Sus scrofa: one gene and its partners. The protein of the gene in region 1 interacts with the protein of each later gene in a pairwise test. Links are inferred from orthologs where the notes say so. Each region holds a gene or a part of one and is shown in the gene's direction. Other genes may lie near its edges.

Region 1 (3,500 bases):
ACACATCACTGTCTGTGCTGTTTAGCATAATAACTAGCATCATATCTAACAGTTACCAAATTTAGGAAAATACTTTGGGACCTTTTGGAGTTAGCATTGCTGAACCTTCACCTTTTGCATTCACTATTGTGTAATGCAAAATGCAGGGGACTCTGCCAATTAATGGCTTTTATATAAAATCATAAGTGATGCCAGTGCATTTATTCCTCTCTTTTTTATAATCTTAAAATCCAGAGAACATGTGTTTATGTCAACATTACTTTTTTTATTTTACATTTTTCAGTACCAATAAAAAGTCAAGCTTGATATGTGCACTTTATTTTTCCTTAGCATCTGGACAAAATATTTAAACACAGAGAACTGCAGCAGAAGCTGGTGGATGCAAAACTTGAGCAGGCACAGGAAATGATGAAGGAAGCAGAGGAACGGCACAAACGCGAGAAGGAATATGTACTTATCACCTGCGTCTATGTGCATGTCTGGTCTGCCTCAGGGTCAGAGAACCGCTGAGGATATGGTTTTTGACAAAGGTCATAGAGCACTAGGCTGATGGAGAAAGAGCCTGAGCTTCCCTGGAGAATGAAACTGGCCAGCCCGGTAGGAGGCCCTGTACCCACACTGTTTGTTTCCTTTTTAGGGCCACACTCAGGGGCATGTGGAAGTTCCCTGACTAGGGGTTGAATCTGAGCTATAGCTGCTGACCTACACCACAGCCACACCAATGCAGGATCTGAGCCACATCTGTGACCTATACCACAGCTTACAGCAACACCAGATCTTTAACCCACTGAGCGAGGCCAAGGATCGAACCCGCATCCTCATGGATACTAGTCGGGTTTGTAACCCACTGAGCCATAACAGGAACTCCCCCATGCTGTTTTTTGCATAAAATATTTATGCATACATTCAACAAACCTTTTTCCAGCACCTGTTATAAGCAAAGCACCATTCCTGGTCCTGGGGTGTAGCAGTGAACAATATAGAAGGCCACATCCCAGCATGGAGACTAGAGTCTAACTGGGAAGAGATGCACAATAAACAAGCAAAGGAATAAGGAAGGATAATTTCAAATAATAAGTGCTACTACAAAAATAAAGAGAAATCGAGGGGACTTACTTTAGACTGCTGTGCCCTGCCTGATGAGAAGAAGTCAGAGAGAAGGTCTCCAGAAGCAGTATCTGTAGCAGAGACAAAGGTCCTGATGCTGAAACCAGCTTGGCATCCTACAGAATATATTCCTACAGAGTATCAGTACCATTGATATTTAATATATGAGACCTGACAGAGGAACAGCTAGGCAAAGATTCATGTGAAAGAGACTGGGGGGCAAACACAGAGTGACTCAACCTTACCAAATTGCTAGCATGCTACTCTCTTTTCCTACCCTGATTTAGCAAAACAGCAGATATGAATCAAAGAAAGACAGTCACCCTTAGTTCTTCAAAGGTGGTCACTTACCTGGGTTCCAACTCTGACACTTCTTTTTGAAAGTGATGAAATATCAAATCAGGGCTGAGGGTATTGGGTGGTTCCTTCATCCCAAGCAGAACAAGCAGCCTCCTTCCTCCCTCTTTGTCAGGGACCACCCATCACAACAGGGCCCCTGAGTGTAAAGCAGGGGCTGGCCATGTACTTTGCTGCCACACAGCTCAGATGGCCAGAGGGGGCTCTGCAGATCTTCTAATCCACAGCTGCTTCAGCCCTCTCATACAATGAGTTAGCTGCACTTCAATAATAACTGATCTTCACTGCTCGCTAGGAGGCATAGAGGAACATGTATAACCCCCTGTTATAAATGGAAAGGTCAAGACTAACTTGGATAAGAAAAAAGAAGCCTTCAAGTTTTTTTAAATAATGATTTCATTGTTTTTCATTCTGGTTCCCAAAACTGACCTTTTTTTTTTTTTTTTTTTTTTTGTTAAACCATAGGGATAAATAAAAAGGAAAAAAATTATATCAGCCTGTCTTGAAATAAAATAGAAACTTAACTGATGACCATCTGACTAACCAGGCTATCCATGATGTTCACCATTCTGTGTAACCACGCTGACAGTTCCATAGCAGGTTAACTCCTGTAGCTAGTTAACCACTCTGGAAAAGTCACACATGGTTGTCCAACTTAAGTAAGATGGTGCTTACCAAGAATGGAGTCTTTGCTCCCAAACCTTTTCTTTCCAGTCATCCTTGGTTTTGCATCATGTAAATCAAGAGAATGATACATAAACTGATAAAATACAATGTGAAAAGAAAGAGTTATCTCTATGAAAACCATGCTTGATGCTTTGAAAGACTAGATGTAGGCAAACAGCAAAAGAACAACTGTCAAGTTAGATGTGAGAAGCTATACAAGACCTAAAGAAAATTATAAAACAAGACCTAAAGAAAACTGTAAAACTCTAGAGAATTATCCAATCAAGCTGCTTTCCAAATATCTTAGGTCTTTAGGGTCCAGCACTACTGTTTAAAAAAAAAATTATAAATCTGGGAGTTCCCATCGTGGCTCAGTGGTTAATGAATCCGACTAGGAACCATGAGGTTGCAGGTCCGATCCCTGGCCTTGCTCAGTGGGTTAAGGATCCAGTGTTGCCGTGAGCTGTGGTGTAGGTTGCAGACGAAGCTCAGATCCCGCGTTGCTGTGGCTCTGGCATAGGCCGGTGGCTATAGCTCTGATTAGACCCCTAGCCTGGGAACCTCCATATGCCGCAGGAGCGGCCCTAGAAATGGCAAAAAGACAATAAAAAATAAAAAATAAAAAAATTATAAATCTTATATATGACATTTTATAGATATAATTTTTATAAAAACAAAAACTGGCAAAAACCCTCTAAATTCCAATCAGAAGATCCATATCCAAAACATCTAAAGATTAACCCAACATCAAAATTTATAAATAAATGAACATACATCTTAAGTTAAAATAACATGTTTTAAATGTGTGTGTCACTTTTACACATAAATAACATTTTCAGTTTAACCCATCAGTTCCAGTTCTAATCATGTTTGATATGAGGACCTTCGCTATATCTGAAGGGTTGCCTTCTATAGAAGAGGGATGAGACTTCTTTTGCAAACTTTATACAGGACTTAGAATAACAGGTCAAATTTCTAACCAGCTGTTTCTCACAACATAATCCATGGACCACCAACATCTAAACCAGCTTGGGTATTTGCTTTAGGTATAGATTCTAATCACATTATATATTTCCTACATCCTTTATACTCATTCTGTATACTCATTACATTATCTGAGAAGAATCTGCATTTTAACATGCCCCCAAAGAGATTCTGATGCATGCTATGGTGGAGAACAAGGCTCTAATATGAAAGAATTACTGGGTTTAATATAAAGGAATAGTTGCTCACAGCCATGGCCCAGGTGGGGATATTCTAGAAATGTTCAAGCAGAGGCTGAATGATGCTTGGGCAGGATTGCTAAGGTTCCAGAATTTGGTGGGAGGTTGAATTTTAGGTGATTCATGCTTGAGTTAGAGACTTTTTTT
Region 2 (3,500 bases), on another chromosome or scaffold:
CTGCTTAAAGGAGCCCTGAGGTGGTTGTTCTGTTGATGGGTTGATCTGGCTTCACCTGGGACAGTAGCTTTGAAAGCCACAGGGGACAAAGTCACTAAATTAGTCCAAGCCCCACCCCCTCAAAAGCAAGAGAGCAGGTTTGGTGACTGAGTGTAGAGAATAAAAGATGGGAAAAACTTTGGATATCAGCTGAGGAAATAGAAAGGAAGTGTTGATTGATGCAACTCCCTTCTTAGTAAACAGCGTTTGTTAAAAATTTTTGCATCTTTAACAAGTGCTTATTTTTTAAAAATATGAATTAAATCCCATACTTTCCTAGCAAAAATTAGAAGATAAATTAGTAAATCCAGAGTGAGTGATTTGATACTTTTTGTTCTCCTAATGGGGAAAGGTGGATTTTTTTTTTCTTCAGAAGAAAGATGTACAAATGAAAGAAGCCTCGTTCACTGTACTTTGGAATGAATAATTTTTTCAATTTATCTTTCCACTTTTTTAAAAGGAATTTAGAGCAAAGTCAAGAGAATGGGACAAGCAGGAGATATTATATCAGACTCATCTGGTTTCTGTAGATGCTCAACAAAAATTGTTATCTGAGAAGTGTAATCAATTTCAGGTACATTATCTAATACTATCCTCTAAATTAGAATAAATTAGAGGTTAAATACTATTATTCCTCTTTACCATTCTGCAGATAGAAATGCCAACTAAGGGAAAATAATGAGTAGTTCCAACACTGGGTAGAGTTTACAAGGGTGTGAAATGTCTGTAATGGTGACTTTAGTCTGTATGTCTCAGAAGATGGTTTTATTAAAAATGTCCATTGTTGGAATACCACTCAGCCATAAAAAGAATTAAATAATGCCATTCACAGCAACATGTGATGCAGCTAGTGATTATCATACTAAGTAAAGGAAGTCAGACGGAGAAAGACAAATACTACATGATATCACTTACATGAGGAATCTAAAATGTGACACAGATGAACCTATCCATGAAACAGAACCGGACTCACGGACAAAGAGAACAGACTTGTGGTTGCCACGGGAGGGGTTGGGGAAGGAATGGAGTAGGATATTGAGGTAGCAGATAGAAGCTATTATAAATGGAGGGGATAAACAGGTCCTACTGTACAGCTCAGAACTGTGTTCAGTGTACTATGATAAACCATAATGGAAAAGAATATTTAAAAAGAAATCACTTTGCTATACAGCAGAAATTAACACAACATTGTAAATCAATGATACTTCAATTCAAAAGTGTTCATTGTGGAGTTCCCATCATGGCTCAGTGGTAACAAACCTGAGTAGTATCCGTGAGGACACGGGTTTGATCCCTGACCTTACTCAGTGGGTGAAGGATCTGGTGTGGCTGTGGTGTAGGCTGGCAGCTATAGCTCTGACTCGACCCCTCACCTAGGAACCTCCATGTACTGCGGGTCAGCCCTAAAAAGACCAAAAAAAAAAAAAAGGTCCATTGTTATTATGTCATTAAATAACATGTTTTTGCATGCCTATGATCAAGTCTCTTAGAAAGTCTTAAATTTGCTTGGTCCCTGCCCCCTAGAAGCTTAGTCTAGACACAGACATAACACATGTACAGGTTTACAGATAATTAATGACAAGTGAAAGGAAAGGATCCAAATCCTTTTAGAGGTGGAAGGAGTGAGAAAAATTTGGATTTAGGAAACATCCTCCAGCAGGGGTGGGACTAGGCCAGGATCTTGAAGGAAGGATATGTTCTAAGAGAGAACGTATTCCAGGTGGTGGAAATAACGTTAGCAAAGCTGCTGAGGCAAGAGAGCAAGTGCAAATTCGGGCAATGGAAAGTGGGCCAATCAGATTTTTAATAAATATTGGCAGATGACTTCCTAAAAGAAGTTAGTAATTTAGTTTCTCAACAGCCAGCAAAACTACCCAGACTCTCACCAGAAGATCAGTCCTTTGATTTTTACCAACCTGATGGACCAAGAGTAATGTTGGCTTGATTCGCTTTGTGTTTCTCTGACTGCTTGTGATGTTGAGCATCTCTTCATGTGTTTCTAGACTTTTTCATTTTCTCTTCTGTGAATTGCCTGTGCATAAATATTGTCCACTTTTCTCTTGCGTTGTCTTTTTCTTAGAAGTTTTTGTGTACCAGAAGTTACCCTTGTTACAGGTGTTGACAACTTTTTCCTACAGTCCATCGTGTTTTCTTGTTTGTTATTTTATTTATTTATTTTTTTGGCCATAGAGACATTTTCAACTATTGTGTAATAGAATCCATATTTTCCCCCCTTTTTAAATATCTTCTCTATTTTCTTTTTCGCTAAATAAGAATTCCCTACCCAAAGTCCTCTACCCTACTCTACATATTTGCTCTGAGTTTATGCAAATATATATTCTCTTTATGCCCTCTGAAATTGAAGTTTTAGAATAAACACAAGACTGAATTATGAAGAACAGTTTCATTAATAATATAAATGTTTTTTCCTAATTCTTCTCTATCATTCTTGAACTTTATGTAAGCTTAAGTGTTGTATTCCCCACTCAACTGACACAATTTTCATATTTCTCAGAAACAGGCACAAAGTTACCAAACTCAACTAAATGGTAAAAAACAGGGCATGGAAGACAGCAGCTCTGAAATTCCTCAGTTGCTATGTGAACCAGATCACAGTTGTGAAACCACTGAAAGAGATGAGTTCATTATTGAAAAATTAAAATCAGCTGTGAGTGAAATAGCATTAAGCAGGAATAAGCTACAAGATGAAAATCAGAAGCTCTTACAAGAACTGAAAATGTACCAAAGACAGTGCCAGGTAAAAGATTTATTTTTATTTTTAATTGATAACTGCCCATGAGTTGTATAAATGATGACCCAACAGGTATATGGAATAGAAAGCTAATTTTTTATTACATGTATAATTTTTTTTTTTTTGGTCTTTTCTAGGGCTGCACCTGCGGCATAGGGAGGTGCCCAGGCTAGGGATGTAATTGAAGCTGTTAGCGGCCGGCCTGTGCCAGAGCCACAGCAACGCCAGATCCGAGCCACGTCTGCAACCTACACCACAACTCGCAGTGAAGCCAGATCCTTAACCCACTGAGCAAGGCCAGGGATTGAACCTGCAACCTTATGGTTCCTGGTAGGATTCGTTAACCCCTGAGCCACGATGGGAACTCCTACATGTATAAATTCAGCTTATCTTTTCTCTTACCAAGTAGCTCTCATTTGATGAGTAAACTTAGTAATCCTGTGGGTACTTTACTCCAACAGGTGCACTTGTGTTCTGCAGTGGTGTAATAGTATCTTGCCAGTGCAGTGTAACAGTGGTCGCTCACAGACCTCTAGTCCTAAAAAACCTAGCCCTTTAGCCACACAGCACCCTGTGTCCCCATCATTCATTCTCTTTGACCCTGTGCCTCTTGGACTCAGGAATCCTAGGATGAAGATCCAGGAAATCATTTAAGGTTCGACAATCTGATAACCTCAGTGGGGACCAGGGGAGGCATTCCCTGTGATAT
Region 3 (3,933 bases), on another chromosome or scaffold:
TTACAGGCTCTGAAAATATAACTATTATTTTTGTTTTTGCTTTTTAGGGCCACACTTGCGGCATATGGAGGTTCCCAGGCTAGGGGTCTAATCAGAGCTACAGCTGCCAGCCTACACCCACAGCCACAGCAACACCAGACCCAAAGCACATCTGTGACCTACACCACAGCTCACAGCAACACTGGATCCTTAAGCCACTGAGCGAGGATCGAACCCACAACCCCATGGTTCCTAGTTCCAGATTCGTTTCCACTGCACCACGATGGGAACTCCTGAAAACATAACTACTGAAAAATGCTTTAAGACCTTTTAATTTAACAGATATGTTATATGCAGGTGGGATTCATGGACTCTGCCTTTTTAAATCAGTATTCGTTACAATTTACTTCTTTTGTCTCCAAAATGCACTACAGTAATTGAAATCTGGTAATCCATTTCCAATGAGAGAAAGCCTGGAGAAAGGACACGGGTATTTCAGAGGATTTCAGGAAGATGACCAAGACTTCTAGCTATAGATTGTTTTTAACAGCCCTGGAAATTCAGTTATTATGTTGTGAGTGGCACTGCCTTCAGGAGCTATGGAAGAGTGATGAAGAGTATCATCAAGAATCCTAGGAGGCAATGAGAAAGTCCCACTCTTCCGTTAACTAGAATTATATCTCACAGAATTATACTTGTCTTTTCTTTTTTTAAGAAACCAAACCACTTTGGAGAATTTCTGTTAATTGGCCAATTTTAGATAAGTTAATATTTTTATAGTTCTATAGATACATATACTCAACCTGATTAAATTAGGGCCCAGGGGCCAATCTGGCACTTAGTATGTTAAAAATAACAACAAAAACAAACTATATATATATTTTATTAACGAATGCCTCAGCTGCCTTATACGAGAGACAACACTAAGCAGAGGGATAACCTCAAACAGTCGGGATGCTTTACTTTTCCCCGCCCCATTTTTAAAATCTTGCGAGAAGAGAATTTCACCCTTTCTAGACTCGGCGCTCTTCGTCCGACGTCACAATCCGGAACTAAAACTACCAATCCCAGAATGCCTTGCGAAGGGGTGGGCTCTCCGGAAGCCGCCGAGTGATTGGCGAGAGGAGGCGTTTCCTTCCGGCGGGAAGAACCCGGGAGGCGGGGACTGGGGGGAGGTGTTCGTAAGCTATTACCGGGTTGGGCTGGCCTGGTCGGGGAGGGGTGTGTGGGTGAACCCTGTGTCCCGTGCCCGCTGAGGAGATGGATGAGGATGGGCTTCCTCTCATGGGGTCAGGCATAGACCTGACTAAGGTTTGTAAAAGATGGAGTTGAACTCAGGTGACCTGGGAGGAGGATGGGGAAGGGACGCCGGGTTCCCAGGGAGACCACATCTCTCTAAGCCCAACGCTGTCCTAGGCCTGTCTCATCTCTCTCCGGAGGGAGAGTCCCATAGTTTGCCCTTTAAAGAGGTCCCTCCTGAGGTAAGGAAGGGCGGGGGCAGTGTAGTGTACCTCTCCCAGGCTTCGCTTCCCAGGTCACGAGTCCCTGTCCTCAAGGGTGAACCACTGGCGACACGGGCCAGTTCCGATTTCTAACCCTACCTCTTTTATTCGGCCCTTAAGGTTTTCGTGTGTTTACGTGTTGCCTATACCTGCGGAAGTTCGCTCTTGTGAATCCAGAGCCCTTTCTCAAACTTTGCAGCATCTGTCATCTTTGAACACCCCACCCCCACAGGTTAGGAAAACAAGTTAATGACTATTGGCAGAACTTCCAGTAACTCATATCACACAGAGAAACGCCCCTTTATTAATATCGAGGGGATTGCACGGTGTACCTTCCTCCTGTACGGATCATGTTTATTTTTACGCAACACAGGTGCCAGCTATTCAACAGAAAAGAACGGTGGCATTTCTAAACCAATTTGTGGTGCACACTGTACAGTTCCTCAACCGCTTTTCTACAGTTTGTGAGGAGGTAGGTCCAGTGGTGTTGGTCTAATGTGTAGCCCAGATATCACCTCGCACTTTTGAAGGTAGCAAATGACTAAAACAAGATTTACAGTCTGTGTATTCATATACCGTGACCTCTTCTCACCCAATTATTATGTTAATATACCTTAAATCCTCTTTGGTTCTATTACCGTCTTCCTGCAGCCCATCTCTGCTGAATTAAACTTCTGAGACTTTTGTGAAGCAGTTCACTAAGGCTTACTGTAATTGAAGATAATAATTGTATTTCACAGTTAAAGACATTTTTTATTTTGAAATTGGTTATGTTTCTCCTACCTCAAAGATTTACGTTTTAGGTGTACATTATTTTACATTGCTTGATCCAAAAGATGATTGAGGAGGTAGCCTAGAAATGTAACTTTGGCATCAAATATCATCATGGAAATAAAAGTAAAAATACGGAGTTCCCTGGTGGTGCAGTGGGTTAAGGACCAGGCCTTGTCACTGCTGTGGCTCATGTTTGATCCCTGGCTCTGGAACTTTTTTATGCCAGAGGTGAGGCCAAAAAAAAAAAATAATAAATAAAATACTTTGTGCATATGACTTATGAAGTAAGGATAAAGTAGCTCAGTTACAGATTAGGTACCAGATCTAGGGACGACTGTCTTATAAAAAGCTAAAAAAGAGAATGGGTTGAAATTAGGTTTAAGAAGGAAGAAAGGGGACAAGGAAATGTTTTGAAACCAAAAGATGGTGTTTTTGCTCAGTTTTCTTTACTTCTTGAGGATTGCGTCAAAACCTAGGGCCCCGTTTTGTTGTCATGAACCACCTGAGTGCTGAAGTTACTGTTCACCCTTTGACTGAGTATCCTCCCCAGTCAAATCCTTGAATTGAAACTGTTCTTGTAGAGGAATTGTTGCTGCCTGAAAGGTGTAAGAGTCAAGATTGTTGTCATTGGGAACAGGATACACATATACACTTTAATGTTAAAGAAAACCCCCCCATTGGTATCATGGTATTTCTCTATGCTTGCAAATTCTACTTTCCAAAAGTTCAGTGACCACTTAAAGCTAAATACGCTTTTAGGGATGATTTAAACAGAAATTAAAATGATTTCATTAAGAAGTCAAGGTCTGGGAGTTCCCGTTGTGGCGCAGTGGTTAACGAATCCTACTGGGAACCATGAGGTTGCGGGTTCGGTCCCTGCCCTTGCTCAGTGGGTTAACGATCCGGCGTTGCCGTGAGCTGTGGTGTAGGTTGCAGACGCGGCTCAGATCCCGCGTTGCTGTGGCTCTGGCGTAGGCCGGTGGCTACAGTTCCGATTCAACCCCTAGCCTGGGAACCTCCATATGCTGCGGGAGCGGCCCAAGAAATCGCAACAACAACAACAACAAAGACAAAAAAAAAAAAAAAAGAAGTCAAGGTCTGGAGTTCCCTTGGGGCACAGCAATTTAAGGATCTGGTACTGTCACTGTCTGGCTTGTGGCGCTGCTGCGGCATGGGTTTAATCCCTGAAAAAAAAACAAACAAACAAAAAAAATCAAGGCCTGCTTCATGAAATACCGTGAGAATACCTAGAGACTTCCCAGTCCTAGCCATTCTCCTACTTTTTGTACAATATGTGATGTATCTCCATTCCAGTTGCATTTTGATTGACACAATAAAAATGTTTCCAAGAAGTTAACTAGTAAATACCAATTTTTGTCAGTTGAATTATTGTTAACTTGTGCTTGTGAAGCTATTGTAAAAATCTTATTAATTTTTGAAAATCAAATAAACCCACCCCCCCAAAAAAAAAGAGAAAAGAGGAAAATGTGATAATCACAGCTGAGTCAGTTAAACAATATTTAGTTCGTTATGTCTTATATATAACATAAGGTAGGGAATCAGCATATAGTTTTTGTTAGATATGTTATTAATAAAAATTGCATGGAGCCAGGAAAACTGTTTTCGTCTGTATAAGATTCCAGCTGTTCTTTTGTCTAGTTATCAAAATCACTTCTGC
Region 4 (3,500 bases), on another chromosome or scaffold:
GTTCATCCATCATTCATCACTGATAGATGATTTTGATCATTGAGGTTTACAGTGTGGTACCCACCATATTGGTTTGACCATGCCCACCACAGATGGCATAGGAAGGACCCATCACAGTCAATAGGATGGAAGACAATGGAGCCCACCAGTGCTGACATAGGATCCTCTTCTGTTTCCTGTAGCCGCGAGGGCAACAGTGTGGATAAGCCCACACTGCAGGAGGTGGCTACCCAGCTCCAAGGCTATGTTCAGCGTCTCCAGGAACGCCGTGCTCTTGTGAAGATTCCTCCAGAACCTGGCCCTACCTCGGCACCCACGTCCACTGTGCCCCATGCTGAAGCCATGGTGCAGGCCATTCTGGGGACACAGCCTGGCCCGTCGCTGCCCCGGCTAGAGAAGACGCAGATCCAGCAGGAACTGGCAGCCACACGGGTACACAAGGGCTGTGGTCACTGTATCAGTCTTTCCTGGTGGAACCAAACTCTTTGCTGAGTCAGAGAGAAATGTGATTGGGGGACCCAGTAGAAAGGGAGCGTTTTGCTGGACTGGGGACTAGCTTCCTGGAGGGAGGAGATTTGGAGCTGGGGTTTTGAGGGATGAATAGGAATTTGTCCTCCGGCTTTCAGTTTCTCATAAGATTCCAAATCTAGCTTCCCAAAATGCCCCTCCTATGGAAAAGAAAGAGGAAGGGGCCATAATCTGAGGTTTGTAGCCTGGCATGAAAGAGCTGAGGTTTTGAATTTGGAGAAACTCCGGACACTTCCACTGAGCTGCTACTTGACCTTGTTTAGGATACTTGCTCTCTATGAACTGGCATTTCTACAAGCTGTTTTTTGTTTGTGCGTTTGCTTTTTAAGGCTGCACCCATGGCATATGGAAGTTCCCAGGCTGGGGGTAGGATGGGAACTGCAGCTGCCAGCTTATGCCACAGCCACAGCAATGGCAGATCTGAGCCTCATCTGCCACCCACGCCACAGCTCATAGCAACGCCAGATCCCTAACCTACTGATCGAGGCCAGGGATCAAACTGCATCCTCATGGATACTAGTCAGATTCATTTCTGCTTCGCCACAAAGGGAACTCCCTACAAGCTGTTGTGTTTTTTTGTTTGTTCGTTTGTTTTTGTCTTTTTGTCTTTTTAGAGCTGAACCCGTGGCATATGGAGATTCCCAGGCCAGGGGTCCAATCGGAGCTGTAGCCACCAGCTTACACCAGAGCCATAGCAATGTGGGATACGAGTTGCATCTGTGACCTACACCACAGCTCATGGCAACACCGGATCCTTAACCCACTGAGCAGGGGCGTGGATGGAACCTGCAACCTCATGGTTCCTAGTCGGATTCATTAACCACTGAGCCACAACGGGAACTTCACAAGCTGTTGTTTTTAATGGGAAGATGATATTTCCCATCATGCAAGATCATGAAGGGAGAGTTCCCTTCATGGCTCAGCGGTAACGAACCTGACTAATATCCATGAGGATGCGGGTTCGATCCTTGGCCTGGCTCAGTGGGTTAGGGATCCCGCATTGCTGTGAGCTGCAGTGTAGTTCACAGACGTGGCTCAGATCCCCAGTTGCTGTGGCTGTGATCTAAGCCAGCAGCTGCAGCTCTAATTGGACCCCTAGCCTGGGAGCTTCCGTATGCCACAGGTACGGGCCTTAAAAAAAGAAAAGAAGGAGTTCCCGTCGTGGCGCAGTGGTTAACAAATCCGACTAGGAACCATGAGGCTGTGGGGTTCGGTCCCTACCCTTGCTCAGTGGGTTAACGATCTGGCGTTGCCATGAGCTGTGGTGTAGGTTGCAGACGCAGCTTGGATCCCGCGTTGCTGTGGCTCTGGCGTAGGCTGGCAGCTACAGCTCCGATTCGACCCCTGGCCTGGGAACCTCCATATGCCGCGGGAGCAGCCCAGAGAGATAACAAAAAGACCAAAAAAAAAAAAAAAAAGAAAAGAAAAAAGACAAGATCACAGGGACGGTTTGTGTTCCTGCCTGACCAGCCCTCAGTGGGTGCCCCCTGGAGTTCAGTTTCCCCAGCAGTTGACCCTAGAGGTGAAAATTCTCTCCCCTTTCCCTGGTCTGCCAGGAGACCCTGGCTGACCTGACGCTGAGGCTACAGCTGGTGCGACGGGAGAAGCGGGCTCTGGAGCTGCGAGAGGCTGCCCTCCGAGCACAGGTCCCAGCCCATGTACTCCTGCTGGAGCAGCTGCGCTGGGAGCGGGCACAGCTCCAGACGGGTGAGGCCAACAGCAGCGGTGAAGACAGCAGTGGAGGCGCGACCAGCGGAGAGGAGGAGTGGTCCCAGGTGAGTTGGCCGTGCCTGGACCTGGTAGGAATAGCTGTATACTAGTGACTGTGTGGTTCCGGTTAATCATTGCCCCCTTTGGGGAGTTCCCTGGTTACTCAGCAGGTTAAGGAGCCAGTGTTATCCCCTCTGTGGCTCAGGTCACTGCTGTGGTGTGGGTTCAATCCCTGGCCTGGGAACTTCCGAATGCTGTGGGTGCAGACAAAAAAAAAAAAAAAAGAATCATAGCCCCCTTTGAGTCTCAGTTTCCATTTCTTTTCTTTTTTTGCTTTTTAGGGCTGCACAGGCAGCATATGGAAGTTCCCAGGCTAGAGGTAGAATTGGAGCTGCAGCTGCCGGCCTAGGCCACAGCCACAGCACAGGATCTGAGCTGCATCTGTGACCTACACCAGAGCTCATGGAAACCCTGGATTCTTAACCCACTGAGCAAGACCAGGGATCCAACCCGTGTCCTCATGGATACTAGTTGGTTTCATTATCGCTGAGCCATGACGGGAACCTCTCAGTTTCCATTTCTTCACACACAAAAAGAGCTAATGGTTAAGCTACATTTCAAAATTCCCACTTCTACTTTGGGGTTTCTTTCTTTGAGGGTATTTATTGAGCCCAATAAGCCCCAAGGGATTTAGTGTCTTCCACTCAAACCTGTGCCTCCTCCTTCCCACCCCCAGTCTTATTCATACTTCCCCTTCTCCATTCCAACGGTCCCAGCCTATGCTTCATTTCTTCCGAAGTTTTGGCTCCAGCTTCCTCTCTGAGGCTTTCCTTTTTGCCCCTTACTGTCTAATCATGCCTGTTCTCTGCTTAAAGCCTTAGTGGCTTCCGGAACCTTCCTTTGAATCACCTCTCCTACCTCCAAGCCTTTAGAAATGCTGTGACCCTGCTGGGAACACCAGTCACTTCCCTCCTTATCTAATTAAATTCTCAACCTCCTACAGGCCTGAACTCAGACATCACCTCCTCCAGGAAGTTCTCCTGGATTGCCTAAAAAGGAGATCCCCTGTAATTTTTTTCCCTTGTTAGGGAGTACCTGTACCCTTATGGAGGTACCTAACCAGAGTGGGGGCTCTGAAGGCGAGGGCTGTGGCCACGTGGCCACAACATTCTGGGTGATTTCAGTGTCCAGCTTGGGCTGAGCCCACACTCAGGCTATGCTAATGTCGCTACCCTCCCTTCTACCTCCCACAGAGCCTGCCT
Region 5 (3,500 bases), on another chromosome or scaffold:
GCTGTGGTGCAGACTGCAGACAAGGCTCAGATCTGGCATTGCTGTGGCTGTGGTGTAGGTCCAAGACTCGGCTTGGATCTGGCGTTGCTGTGGCTGTGGCACAGGCAGGCAGCTGCAGCTATGATTCACCCCCTAGCCTGGGACCCTCCATGTGCCTCATGTGCGGCCCTTAAAAAAAAAAAAAAATTTCCAAGGGAGTCGGGAGTCAGAATGGCAGAAGTTAATGAAGCAATGCTTTAAATTCCAAAGAAATATTATTTTTCAACCTAGATTTCTGTACTCAGCCGAAAGGTCAATAGTGTGAGAAGAGAAAAGGAACTCTTTTTTGGGGGGAACATTTTAAAACGTGAAGCTTCAATAAATATACCTCCTGTGCAGGTATAGTCTGTGCCGACTTTCTCAGGAAGCTGCTGAAAGAAAAGCACCACACATACACATGAGGAAGTAAATCAATAAAGAAGATGTGGGATCCAGGAAAGAGGGGATCCAACTCAGGAGAGAGGCAAAGGGAATCCCCAAGGTGATCGTGAAGGGAGACCCCTGGCAGACAGCCGTGCAGTGGGGACAGGTTAGAGCAGATCAGGAGGCTTCTAGAGCACTGCCTTGAGGAAGACGGAATAGATAGAACATATGTTTAAAAGCCCTGAGGAGTTCCTGTCGTGGTGCAGTGGTTAACGAATCCAACTAGGAACCATGAGGTTGCGGGTTCGGTCCCTGCCCTTGCTCAGTGGGTTAAGGATCCGGCGTTGCCATGAGCTGCGGTGTAGGTCGAAGATGCGGCTTGGATCCCGAGTTGCTGTGGCTGTGGTGTAGGCCGGCGGCTACAGCTCCGATTGGACCCCTAGCCTGGGAACCTCCATATGCCGCGGGAGTGGCCCAAGAAATGGCAAAAAGACCCCCCCCAAAAAAAGAAAAAAAGCCCTGAGAGGGAAACGCAGACAACTGGGAGAGAGTTTAGGGATGGCTTACTGATAACGATATCCCAGACTAAGCCAAGCAGTAGTCGTGTAATAATAACAACGATAATAATTGTTATTTACAAAGGAAAACATAAAGTGTGAGAGGAAAAGTAGCCACAGTAAAACCACACGGCTTAGTTGTGAATAGCATTTCCAATTCTTAAAATGGAAAGGCTGAATAAGTAATTTTATTGCACATTTTGGGGATGCGGGGAGATGGGAAGGGTATCGGGATGGCAGAGAAATAAGGAGTAAGATGAAAGGGTTAAATCCTTAACCTTCCATTGTGTGCAAGGTCAATAGAAAATACCTAAAACTCGGGGTTCCCATTGTGGCTCAGTGGAAACGAATCTGACCAGCATCCATGAGGTCGCAGGTTCTATCCCTGGCCTCCCTCAGCGGGTTAAGGATCTGGCGTTGCCGTTAAGGATCTGGCGTTGCCGTGAGCTTTGGTATAGGTCGCAGATGCGGCTTGGTTCTGGTGTTGCTGTGGCTGTGGTGTACGCCAGCAGCTACGGCTCTGATTTGACCCCTAGCCTGGGAATCTCCGTGTGCTGTGGATGCAGCCCTAAAAAGAGAAAAAAAAAAAAAAAAAAAACCCTAAAACTTAAAAATCAGTAAGTAAAAAAAAAATTAGTTAAGTAGCATATTATTTGAAAATTAGAAAGTAAGTAACAAACAGCTAAGAAATTAATAGTAGATGTCTCTGGGAAGTGGGATTTAGGACTAGGATGGGGGAGCTGATACTTTTCATAATGAATCTTGCAGGACTGTTTGCTTCTTTTTTTGGCCACGCCTCGGACCAGGGATTGAAGCTGCACCATGCAGCGATCCAAGCTGCTGCAATGACAACGTCAGAGCCTTAACCCATTGTGCCACAAGAGAACTCCTCTCTTACTTTTGTTAGAAGTAAAACTAAATAAAATGAAATTTAGAAAGTCTTGCGTGGCAGGACCTGGAGTTCCCATAGAAACATGCTAGCAGTTAGGTTAGAGGGATGCGCAAGAACTGGACCGTGACAGGCTTTTGAATCCCTGCCGCCAAAGTGTTTAGATTTTATTCTCTGAGAGCCACGCAAGGCTCCTACAGGTTCTTGAGCAAGGGGCAGACAGGTTCAGACTTGTGCTGGGGGAATAGAACTCAGTGCATCTGAGCTGGAAGGGACCCTAGAGATTACCTAGTAAGTCAGTCCACACAGGGAGGCCGGGGCAGAGTAGAGGAAAAAGCTCTTTGAAGCTCTAGCCAAGCCTTCCATCCTGTGGCAGATGCTACCAGCATCCTGAAGGGACCGGGGATGCAGATTAACGCCCTCTTTATCCTCCAGCTCCCGCCTCCTTTAGGCCCAGCGTGCTTTCCAATTAACACCTGACCCCTCTCAGGCTACTCTTTGGATGACCGATTCTAAGTCTTTCTGGTGAATCTGGACTGGCTCAATAGTTAATACCCTATCTACGAAGTTCAAATCTTAGTAGGATTGGATTTTAATGCTTTAATACTGAGACCTTACTTTGTGCCAGCACAGTGCTCATTACTCAGTAGACGGCACTTCGAAATTCTCACGGCCACCCTGTGCCATTTATCCCTGTTTCACAAACAGGGAGACCCAGGCTCAAAGAAGCTAAGAAAGTTGCTCACAGTCGTATGGTGGCTGTTAGTTGTCGAACTGAGATTTTAATGAGCAGTCCATCTGCTTCTAAAGCCCACACTCCAATCCATTCTATTTCCATGCTTCTTAAAAGTGAAGCATAGGGAGTTCCCACTATGGCTCAGCGGAAACCAACCTGACCAGTATCCATGAGGAGGCGGGTTTGATCCCCAGCCTCCCTCAGTGGGTTCAGGATCTGGTGTTGCCATGATGTGTGGTGTAGGTTGCAGATGCAGCTTGGATCCCATGTTGCTGTGGCTGTGGTTCAGGCTGGCAGCTGTAGCTCCCATTCGACCCCTAGCCTGGGAACCTCGGTATGTCCCAGGTGCGGGCTTAAAAAGCCAAAAAAAAAAAAAAAAAAAGTGGAGCATACTTGGTTGGATGACAAGGCGGGGGCCTCCAGAAACACTGCAGAAAACCCATGGCGCTGAACCTGGGACTGACTGCTTCTCCCACTCCCCTAGGCTTACCTGCGAGCCATTGACGTGAAGATCCTGCAGCAGCTGGTGACCTTGAACGAGGGCATCGAGGCGGTGCGCTGGCTGTTGGAGGAGCGGGGGACATTGACCAGCCACTGCAGCAGCCTCACCAGCAGCCAATATAGCCTGACGGGCGGGAGCCCAGGCCGCTCAAGGCGAGGCAGCTGGGACAGCCTGCCAGACGCCAGCTCCACTGACCGGCTGGACAGTGTCTCCATCGGCAGTTTCCTGGACACGGTGGCCCCCAGCGAGCTGGATGAACAGGGCCCCCCCGGGGCTCCCCGTCCCGAGATGGACTGGGCAAAGGTTATACCCACTGGGGAGAGGGCCAGGACTGAGCTGGACCTGACAGCTGCCAGGCTAGGGAGTTTGAGGGCTCTGTGGAAGCCCCCAGGGGAGGGGCTCCAAGGTGGACCT
Region 6 (4,141 bases), on another chromosome or scaffold:
GAACTAGAGGCCAGGAAAATACCTTAACATTGCAAAGACTCTTGGATTTAGGTTAACACGGGGAAGAGTAGCTTGAATGGGAAGAAGGTTGCTCAATTTGGGATTAGATATTGTGAAATCTGTTTCTGGATGTCTCTAGGCATAGGCTGGATTATAAACTCTATATCTTGCTGTGAACAAGGGAGCGGACGAGATTACTTAAGATCCTGTCAAGCCTGCTGATCCTTGGAAATGAAAGCCTAATTAAGAGGCTCCCTAGGGACAGGTCAAAGGCATTCTTTTATCTCTACTGCCCCTAATCCAAGTTCCTTGATGGTTTATTCCTCCCCTTTCATTCAGCCTACTCTAAAACTGAAGAATACACATTGTGCAAGTTTCCAACTCTGCTTCTCCTACTGTAAACGCATTAGACAATTAGAATTAAGAATTTTAAATCTTTCATCCCTCATATCTAAACATGATGTTTATTTTTCAAGTGGTTTTGAATAGAGTTTAACATTAAGCATTCGTCTAAACTTTTTTTTTTTTTTCAATTGGACAACAAAATTTTCAATGCTTGACCCCGGAATACTACAGAGCCCTTCAGATATCTTTTAATACAGTTATCTGGATAAATAATAACTTGTTGAATTTTAATTCGGATTTATCTTTATTTTCAAAGATGGTGTTCACGCAATTACTTATTTGGGTTAAATTCCTGTTGGAATCATGTTGACATTGTTTTCTTTGAAACAGTTTTAGATGAGTGTGTATACCATATCACTCAGAGAACAGCAACTATGCAAGTTTTAAAACTTGACAGAATTATTTTGCAGATTTAAAGTAGTATTCCCTTGATAGTAAATGAGGCATAAAAGAGGGGTATTTTGGGGGGGAGGTGGTTATATCCTCCTCTTTCTCTCATGAAAAAAAAGTGATGTTAAATTGTGTATAGACGAAAATGTTCTACCCAATTATGACAATTCTGTGTGTTTTCAGTGTTTAGAAATATGTGTGGATCCACTGCGTCCCTGACCAGCGATCTTTCTAAAGTGCCGTGGTAAAATCTCAACTTTAATTTGGTACTAAAACTCTAACATTTAACTACAAGTTTTCTCTTAGCAACACTCATAATCAACATCTAAGCGTCAAGCTAAGCTTCAAGAAGCTAACTCTCATTAGATAACGACTCCAAATCACCATCTCAAATATTGCAGCAAGCCAAGCCCAGGTTGGCAATCTCTTGCTCACGGTCCTTGAAGGAATGCTGTAGTTGCACCTTATTGGTGCACATGCTTGTCAGTCATGTAGGGAAGGTGGGGTCTTACAGTCTCGCTCTAAATGAGACGCAGTGTGTTTACATCATCGGGGAGCGACGAAGGCAGGAGAGGGAGGGGTGTGTTGTGAGCACACCTTGGTGCTGGTGGGGGTGGCCTACGAAAGTGTCATGGCTGCCGCCGCTGAGCTTAGTCGCGCGACCCTCGGTGACAGGAGCATGGAGCGGAGCTGCAGCCCCAACCTCTCCCAAGAGGTGGTCTGCGAAGTCTTTCGCTCCTTGCATACCCTTGCTGGACAAGTGAGTGGTGGGCTTTGGGAGTAGGGATCTGGGAACCGTCCGGCCCCTCCCCCTCTCCTTTCTCCGGCGGAGGCGGGGGCGGCGGAGGCCTGCGGGGTGTGGGACCCGGCCCAGAATAGCCGAGGCTGGGGGAGGAGCTCGGGCCCGGCCGCCTGTGGTCTAAGTGAGGCTGGCCGCGCGTGGGTTAGTTCAAGACCGGTTGCAGGCTAGATTTCTTTGCAACTCTTCTCCCCAAGAGCGAATGAGGATAGTGTAAGTGAAACCCCGCTAGGAGAGAAACAAGCTCGAAGAGAATGCGTGCGGAAAAGCTGTGAGGGTTTGGGAGGCGCCTAGCGCTGTGGATCCCTTTTCCTCCAATTCATTCATTATAGAAATTGATAGGTTAGTCTACGGCCTGAGATTTCTGGAAAAGCTCCCTCTCCGCCTTTTTTGGGTGATTTACCGTTAGGAGTCAGTTGGGTTTGTTTATTTCTTCTTTCTTTCTGGCTGTTGCTTGCATCTCTTCCCCTTTCAAAACGGGAAGGAAGAGAAAAGGAATTAATTCAACCACTTCTAGTGTTAAGTTGGATAAGTTATCCCTGGTTTATACTGTTTGCATCACAACTGTTGACAAGTTATTAAATATTAACTAGCTTAACTGGCTGATAAATAGCTTTTGTAGAAATATCATTATAGAATCGAACAAATAAAAGTGCTCTTTACTCTGTTCCAGTGAAGTCACTATTTCGTTTCATGATGTAAGATGTAAAGGAAATTTAAAATGCGAACTTGAAAATACCGTTTGTCTGCTTTTAAAAGGAAATCTTTTTTTAAATCTTAGATAGGATTAGGTATTTGTGTGGAAGATAATGGTAACATCCTTTATGAAAATAGAGCGTTTGATTTGTGAAAATTACTTTTAAAAGCCTTCGGTGGATGGATAATCAGTTTTTTAAAAGGTTATTTCAGTATTTTTAAAAATTCTAATATATTCTGACTTAAAAAGAGTATTACTCAAAATTAAATACACAATTTGGTGTAAGCGAATAATTATCAATAGAATCGGCTAAAAGAGTTGTTTTTCAAGGACTTAAATATTTTTTTGAGACAGGGACATTAATATTTCAGTGTCAAGACTTAAAACCTCTAAATGGTTTAAAAGTTTGAGAACTTTCTATGATGTGACTTTGGAACTTTAAGGTTTTTTTTTTTTTATATCCTAATGTCAAGATGAAAGGTTAATGCTCACCTGTAGTTTACAGACTTCCCCCCACTGATGAGATTTTTTTAAATAACATTAAGAAATAATTTAAACATTTTTGAAACAGTTGGCATACTGAATTTTTAAAACTTATTTTAACATTTTAAACATTCAACTATTCTGTAGGAAAAGTATGATTACAAATTATTTATGTCACCTCAAAAATGTTTAAATATTTGGTGAGTTTTATTGACAGTGAAGGAACCATTTATACAAGTGTTGGGGAAAAAAAATCATCTCATCAATTAACTGCTAGCCATTTTGATAATACTCTATATTTTGAGATGTATAAAGATAAGGATGAAAGCCAGAGTACTATACTTATAAAATTGCCCCTAGTGGGAATCATTATTTTTTTTTTGAAACTGGTTTAAGGAATTTCTTTAACTGTATGTTGTAAAATGCCTAGTTCATTCTATATAGTATCATTGTATTATTAGCTCTCCTCAATAGGAAACATAAAATTGAATGTTTAAACAGTATTTTCTATCCTAGATTTCCAGTTTACTAATTTTAACTTTATTACTTGCCTCTGGATTGTCCATTTTACAAGCTGAAGAGTTATTTATTATTAGCTTGGATTTTCATATTTATAAAGTTTTTACTGAAATGCATATTTTAAATGGTCCATATTAATGGCTGACTTATACATTTTCGAGTGAATGTTTTAGAGTTACAAGTTCTATAGCCTAAAAATGCATAGAATTCATATTACTAATAGGGAATTTGTTGAATAATAATTGAATGTATTGGGATAGTTTTAAAGTTAATTTTTAATGTTGTTATATGGTTTTCTTAAAAGACCAAGTATCTTGAATTTCACTTGAAAGCTTACATAATTCTGCTGTATTGAAATGAGACTATGATCCAAACATAAATTAATTTCTATAAGTTACTATTTGGTAAATTTGTTGCTTTGTCTTGGTTGAGGATTTGCATTATCCCAAAATGTATATATAAATTTGTTATAACCAACTATAGATCTCTTTGGAACTGTGAAAGTATAGTTTACTTTCATACATAAGTTGTTGTCTAACAAAATCTTTATAGGCATTAAATTAATTAAGATTAATGTAGCAATCTTAATGTAAAACTTTAGTTAAATTAATATAAACTCATCTGCTAGTGCAGCCTACACAAAACTTAGTTCCTTATGCTTGTCTGATATGGACTTTAAATATTCCTGGTCAAAGGGTGGAAATTTCTTTCATATAGCATTCAATATAGTGCCTTTGTGGGAACTTCATATCTTTTCAGTTTTTTGTACAGTGATTCATTCATCTTTTTGCTATATTGTAATCACAATTCATAAGATCTATATTTGAACTAAAGTAATATATCTTTAT
Region 7 (4,193 bases), about 50 Mb from region 1:
CCACCACAGCACTTCGTATTTTTAAAACGAGAAATGTAAGAAATAAATCAGAAAAATCGAATCGTCACGAAAACATAAGCCTGGGTGACATTGGTACCAGAAATGTCTTCGATCTACCAGACAGAGCTCGCCCTCTCCTTCTACCCGGAGTAGCAGTCTTCTAGTCAGACAAAAAAAAAAAAAAAAAAAAAAAAAGTTGGAAAGTTGAAACCTTACAGAGCTGGCTTTGCTGGACAGTGTCGGGGAAGTGTTCCTCTCCGTCTCTCGGGGTCAGCGGATATCCTCAAGCCGTGGAGCTGTCAAATCCGTGCTCTGCCCCAAAAGGCTGGATACAGTTGAACGCTCTGCAGCCACTCGGTGTTTTTTGTCCGTGCAGCCACGGTGTTCTCGGGAGCGTTCCCACCCCGCCCCTCCTCCGGCACCAGTCCCCGCCCTCCGCAGCTCCTCCCGCCCGGCCGGGCGCTGGCTGGAAAGGCTCGCCGAACCCTGGCTCGCTGGACGCCGCGGCTAGAGACCCTGGCGCTCCCCAGGGGCTGCAGTCTCGTGCAGCCTCTGTCTCGGTGGTGGCGTTGGAGGAACGCGTCTCTGGCTCTGCGGATTCAGAATCCACGGGCTGACGCTGCTTCTCTTCCAATCCCGGTATCCTCGCCCACTGCCGGCCAACCCAAACCGGCACAGGGCAGCCCAGCAATCCCCGATCGCGGGGCTGGGCCGCGAAGCTGGCGGAGCGGCAGGGCCCCAGGCGCAGAACCCGCCCCTTCGCCCAGCCCCATCGATGGGGCTCGGCCCAGAGGGCGGGAGCGGGGAGGGGAGACGGGGTCCTCACCCCCAGCCCCTCCCCTTTCTCCGCCCGGCACAAGCCAGGAGCCGCCCCTGCCCCTGCCCCTGCGCCCTCTTCCCCGCCCAAGCAGACGCGACCCGCTGAGGCAAAGCCATCGGAAAAAGCCCCGCCCTCCAACAAGCTACCTCCGGACCCCGAGCCCGCGAGCGGCCGCCAACCGCTGACGGCTGCTACGCATGCGTAACGGTGGGCCGGGCGCATGCGCCTTAAGAGGCACCGAATCTGCTCGGGGGGCGTTTTTTTTTTTTGTTTTTTGGTTTTTTTGGTTTTTTTTTGCCTTGACGTTCGGCTTCTTTGGGCTGAACGGGGGTAACGAAAAGTTGAAATACGCCGAAATTATCACACACGAGACAAGAACCGCAAATAAGGAGGGCACAGATAAACTCCTGGAAGAACTCGAATCAAAATTTAAAATCAGAGGAAAAAATAGAAACTCTTTATTGCGCCAAACACCAGATTTAAGAAGGCAGGGCGTCCTCGCATTGACTTCTGGGAAGTGTAGTTCTGGTGCTGTAGGCGCGTTCTGTTTGAGACAGAAACTACAGCTCCCGGGAGCCACTGCGACGTTGCCTGTGGCTCCCTGCGAGCCAACGGCTAGCGCTGCCGGAGATTTGACTGAGAGATTTGGCTTGGTGAGCACTGTGGGCTTGGCTGACACTTTTCCTTTGACAGTATTTTTCCTTCCTCCATTTCCTGTGGGATTTTAGAAAGGAAGCCGTCTCCTTAGAGCTGTACTCCTTAGTCCAGGGACTATCAGTAATCTACGTGGGAAGAACTAGTCCGAGTGCCCAAGACCGCGGGCGCGTTGAGAGGACATGGATGGTCGGAAAGAGCTGCATAAGGTCAGGCAAGAGGGATGCTGTGGAAACTAGTGCTCCGCGGTGCTACCTCTGCTTCTGCTCTGTCAGGTGGGCTCACGCGGGATGGACTCAGTATCCCTGTGTAAGTGCACCTTTGTTTGCCATTGCATAGGATTGTTTGAGGCTTTATTTGCGCAGAAGAAATCCTGTGCCACACTTTGAAAGAGAGTTGTCAAATCCTTTTTGTACAAAACTGAAGGGAAAAGAATCCCTCGTGTTCCTAGATATGAATATTTGCAGGCTTTAAGAATACCATATGGAAAAAAGACTTATAAAAATCTCTAAAATTTAGTAATTTTAAAAGATTAAATAATTTGTTTGCATATTGCTGTTTGAAGTCATTCTTCTTGAGAAAAGTTGAGGTTTGAAGGGCTATCACTGGACTGATAACAAATTAGTTTTAATTTTTCATGTTGCACAATACATGCGTTTCTAAAACTTAGTTTCTAAAAACCAAGTACTGGACAAGTGGAAAACGCACAGTTCCCATCTAGTTAAACTAATGGTTAAACATTATACAATACATATATAAAGTACAGTACACACATTAAACATACAGTACTATATGATATTATTAGGATGGCTAGAAAGATCACTTAGGCCGGTCTTGGAAAGTCAGGGAAATCTTCATCTCAGGGAAAGAGGGTCAAAAGAACAGCATATGGTGAGGCCAAGAGTGAGGGAGATAGTAATTTCAGGAAACTGCAATAAGCCAAAATCATATACATTTCAGGAGGAATAGCTTTTTGTGTTTTGATGTACAATACAGCAAAGAGAAAAGAGTAAAGAGCAGAAAAGAGAAACGTACTATGAATTTTCCAGATAGTTTCTGAAAGTGACCTATCCTTGAACAGAGTTCTGATGAATTGGTTTAATTTGGAAAGCCTAGAACATTCTAATGTTGCTTGTTTAAATCAGAATTTTAAAAAATGAGAACTTCCTTCTTATGAGTATGATTTCAGAAAACAAAGCCACTCCTTCTTGTGTCTTTTGGGGTGGGGGGAGGCTCATCTTCCTTTGTCCAACCCACAAAGGATAGGGTAGTTTCTTAAGTGTGGGTCTCCTTTTTACTTTGTGATTGAGTATGATCTCATTCATAGCCATGGTTTCACCACCACCTATGACTTAAATGTATAATTTCATCCAACTTCACCTTTTAGCTTTGTTTCACCACCACCTATGACTTAAATGTATAATTTCATCCAGCTTCACCTTTTAGCTTTCTTATGCCCATCTCTATGGTGTTTCTTCTTGGATATCTCAAAAGCACCTCAGACTTAACATGCCTAAAACCAAATGAACAGTATCTTTTATGAATCTGATTATTTCCCAGTGTTCCCTATTTCACTTAGGGCACTGCCATGCACTTGTGAAAATTTGAAACCTATGCATTATCCTTGATTTCCTAATGTCCTTCATACCTCTGTAGCCAAATTATTTTTAAGTACTCTCAATTTTGTCTCCCAAATATCCCTCAAATCCATCCTTTGCCTCCATCTACATAAGCACAGTCTTTTCTAAACTGCCATAAACTCTTGCCAGGAATGGTGAAATAGTGATTATTCACTCTGGCCTTTCTCCATTAGTTCTCCACACAGCAGCCAGAATCATCTTTTCAAAATGCAAATCCATTCAGATTCACATTTTCACTTAAAACCATTCAGTGTGTGTCCTACTTTTAAAGGCAAAATTTCTTTACAAATGTCATCTTATGTCATCTGGTCCCTTCCACCTCTCCAGCCTCACTTAGTACACCACTGTCCACCTATCTGTGGAGACCTTTCTTCAGTTACTGGCTCTTATATTCCTTTTTATCCATTTGTTCACTGAACAAATATCTTATCAAATACCTACTGTATAAGGGGACATTGAGGATATACTATTGAGCACAATGTATGAAAGTTTTTACTCTCATAGGTCTTCCATTGTGCTAAGGAGAGATAGACAATAAATATGTGGCATATATAGTAAGTGAAGACAAATGCTGCAGAGAAAAATAAGAACCAGCGGGGAAAGGGAATGTGGAGTGGCAAGTTTTAGGGGCAAGATTCTCTTTTAAATAAGGTCAGAGAAGGCCTAATCAAGAAGGGAACATATGAGGGATCTGAAGGAGGGGAAAGAGTAAATGTGCAGGTGCCTGGAGGAGAAACATGTCTGTGAAGAGAACAGCCAGTGCAAAAGCCTCTGGGTGCCCACATTTAACAAATAGCAGTGTGGCAGGAGATGAGAATAACATGAGATCACAGAGGAAGGAGGTCCTGTAGGTGATTGAAGGAACAATTTTTTTTTTCTTTTTTTCTTTTGCTTTTTAGGGCCGAACTTGGGGCATATGGAAGTTCTCAGGCTAAGGGATAAATGGGAGCTGCAGCTGCTGACCTGCGCCACAGCCCCAGCTACAGGGGATCTAGGCCTCATCTGCAACCCACGCCACAGCTCGCAGCAACACCAGATCCTTAACCCACTGAGTAAGGCCAGGGATGGAACCCACCTCC

Evidence for each region.
Region 2: the proteins of TXLNB (region 1) and DEUP1 interact in binary tests that used the Homo sapiens proteins (3 or more experiments, as listed by UniProt). The two-hybrid records come from large-scale screens. The link is inferred for Sus scrofa from reciprocal best matches to the Homo sapiens genes TXLNB and DEUP1.
Region 3: the proteins of TXLNB (region 1) and WASHC3 interact in binary tests that used the Homo sapiens proteins (3 or more experiments, as listed by UniProt). The two-hybrid records come from large-scale screens. The link is inferred for Sus scrofa from reciprocal best matches to the Homo sapiens genes TXLNB and WASHC3.
Region 4: the proteins of TXLNB (region 1) and USHBP1 interact in binary tests that used the Homo sapiens proteins (3 or more experiments, as listed by UniProt). The two-hybrid records come from large-scale screens. The link is inferred for Sus scrofa from reciprocal best matches to the Homo sapiens genes TXLNB and USHBP1.
Region 5: the proteins of TXLNB (region 1) and LURAP1 interact in binary tests that used the Homo sapiens proteins (3 or more experiments, as listed by UniProt). The two-hybrid records come from large-scale screens. The link is inferred for Sus scrofa from reciprocal best matches to the Homo sapiens genes TXLNB and LURAP1.
Region 6: the proteins of TXLNB (region 1) and MBIP interact in binary tests that used the Homo sapiens proteins (3 or more experiments, as listed by UniProt). The two-hybrid records come from large-scale screens. The link is inferred for Sus scrofa from reciprocal best matches to the Homo sapiens genes TXLNB and MBIP.
Region 7: the proteins of TXLNB (region 1) and CEP57L1 interact in binary tests that used the Homo sapiens proteins (3 or more experiments, as listed by UniProt). The two-hybrid records come from large-scale screens. The link is inferred for Sus scrofa from reciprocal best matches to the Homo sapiens genes TXLNB and CEP57L1.

The regions. Positions count from the first base shown.
Region 1 is NC_010443.5:25,266,603-25,270,102, forward strand, and holds part of TXLNB (beta-taxilin), read left to right. Parts: intron 1-330; coding exon 331-450; intron 451-3,500. UniProt on the Homo sapiens protein: Promotes motor nerve regeneration. May be involved in intracellular vesicle traffic.
Region 2 is NC_010451.4:25,831,394-25,834,893, forward strand, and holds part of DEUP1 (deuterosome assembly protein 1), read left to right. Parts: intron 1-499; coding exon 500-613; intron 614-2,554; coding exon 2,555-2,797; intron 2,798-3,500. UniProt on the Homo sapiens protein: Key structural component of the deuterosome, a structure that promotes de novo centriole amplification in multiciliated cells.
Region 3 is NC_010447.5:82,154,140-82,158,072, forward strand, and holds the start of WASHC3 (WASH complex subunit 3), read left to right. Parts: upstream 1-1,133; 5' UTR 1,134-1,239; coding exon 1,240-1,290; intron 1,291-1,601; exon of another isoform or gene 1,602-1,713; intron 1,714-1,854; coding exon 1,855-1,953; intron 1,954-3,933. UniProt on the Homo sapiens protein: Acts as a component of the WASH core complex that functions as a nucleation-promoting factor (NPF) at the surface of endosomes, where it recruits and activates the Arp2/3 complex to induce actin polymerization, playing a key role in the fission of tubules that serve as transport intermediates during endosome sorting.
Region 4 is NC_010444.4:60,418,129-60,421,628, forward strand, and holds part of USHBP1 (Usher syndrome type-1C protein-binding protein 1), read left to right. Parts: intron 1-182; coding exon 183-432; intron 433-2,084; coding exon 2,085-2,303; intron 2,304-3,491; coding exon 3,492-3,500.
Region 5 is NC_010448.4:165,194,692-165,198,191, reverse strand, and holds part of LURAP1 (leucine rich adaptor protein 1), read left to right. Parts: intron 1-3,068; coding exon 3,069-3,500. UniProt on the Homo sapiens protein: Acts as an activator of the canonical NF-kappa-B pathway and drive the production of pro-inflammatory cytokines. Promotes the antigen (Ag)-presenting and priming function of dendritic cells via the canonical NF-kappa-B pathway.
Region 6 is NC_010449.5:63,657,882-63,662,022, forward strand, and holds the start of MBIP (MAP3K12-binding inhibitory protein 1), read left to right. Parts: upstream 1-1,341; 5' UTR 1,342-1,426; coding exon 1,427-1,555; intron 1,556-4,141. UniProt on the Homo sapiens protein: Inhibits the MAP3K12 activity to induce the activation of the JNK/SAPK pathway. Component of the ATAC complex, a complex with histone acetyltransferase activity on histones H3 and H4.
Region 7 is NC_010443.5:75,169,600-75,173,792, forward strand, and holds the start of CEP57L1 (centrosomal protein CEP57L1), read left to right. Parts: upstream 1-1,393; 5' UTR 1,394-1,656; coding exon of another isoform or gene 1,657-1,660; coding exon 1,661-1,783; intron 1,784-4,193. UniProt on the Homo sapiens protein: Centrosomal protein which may be required for microtubule attachment to centrosomes.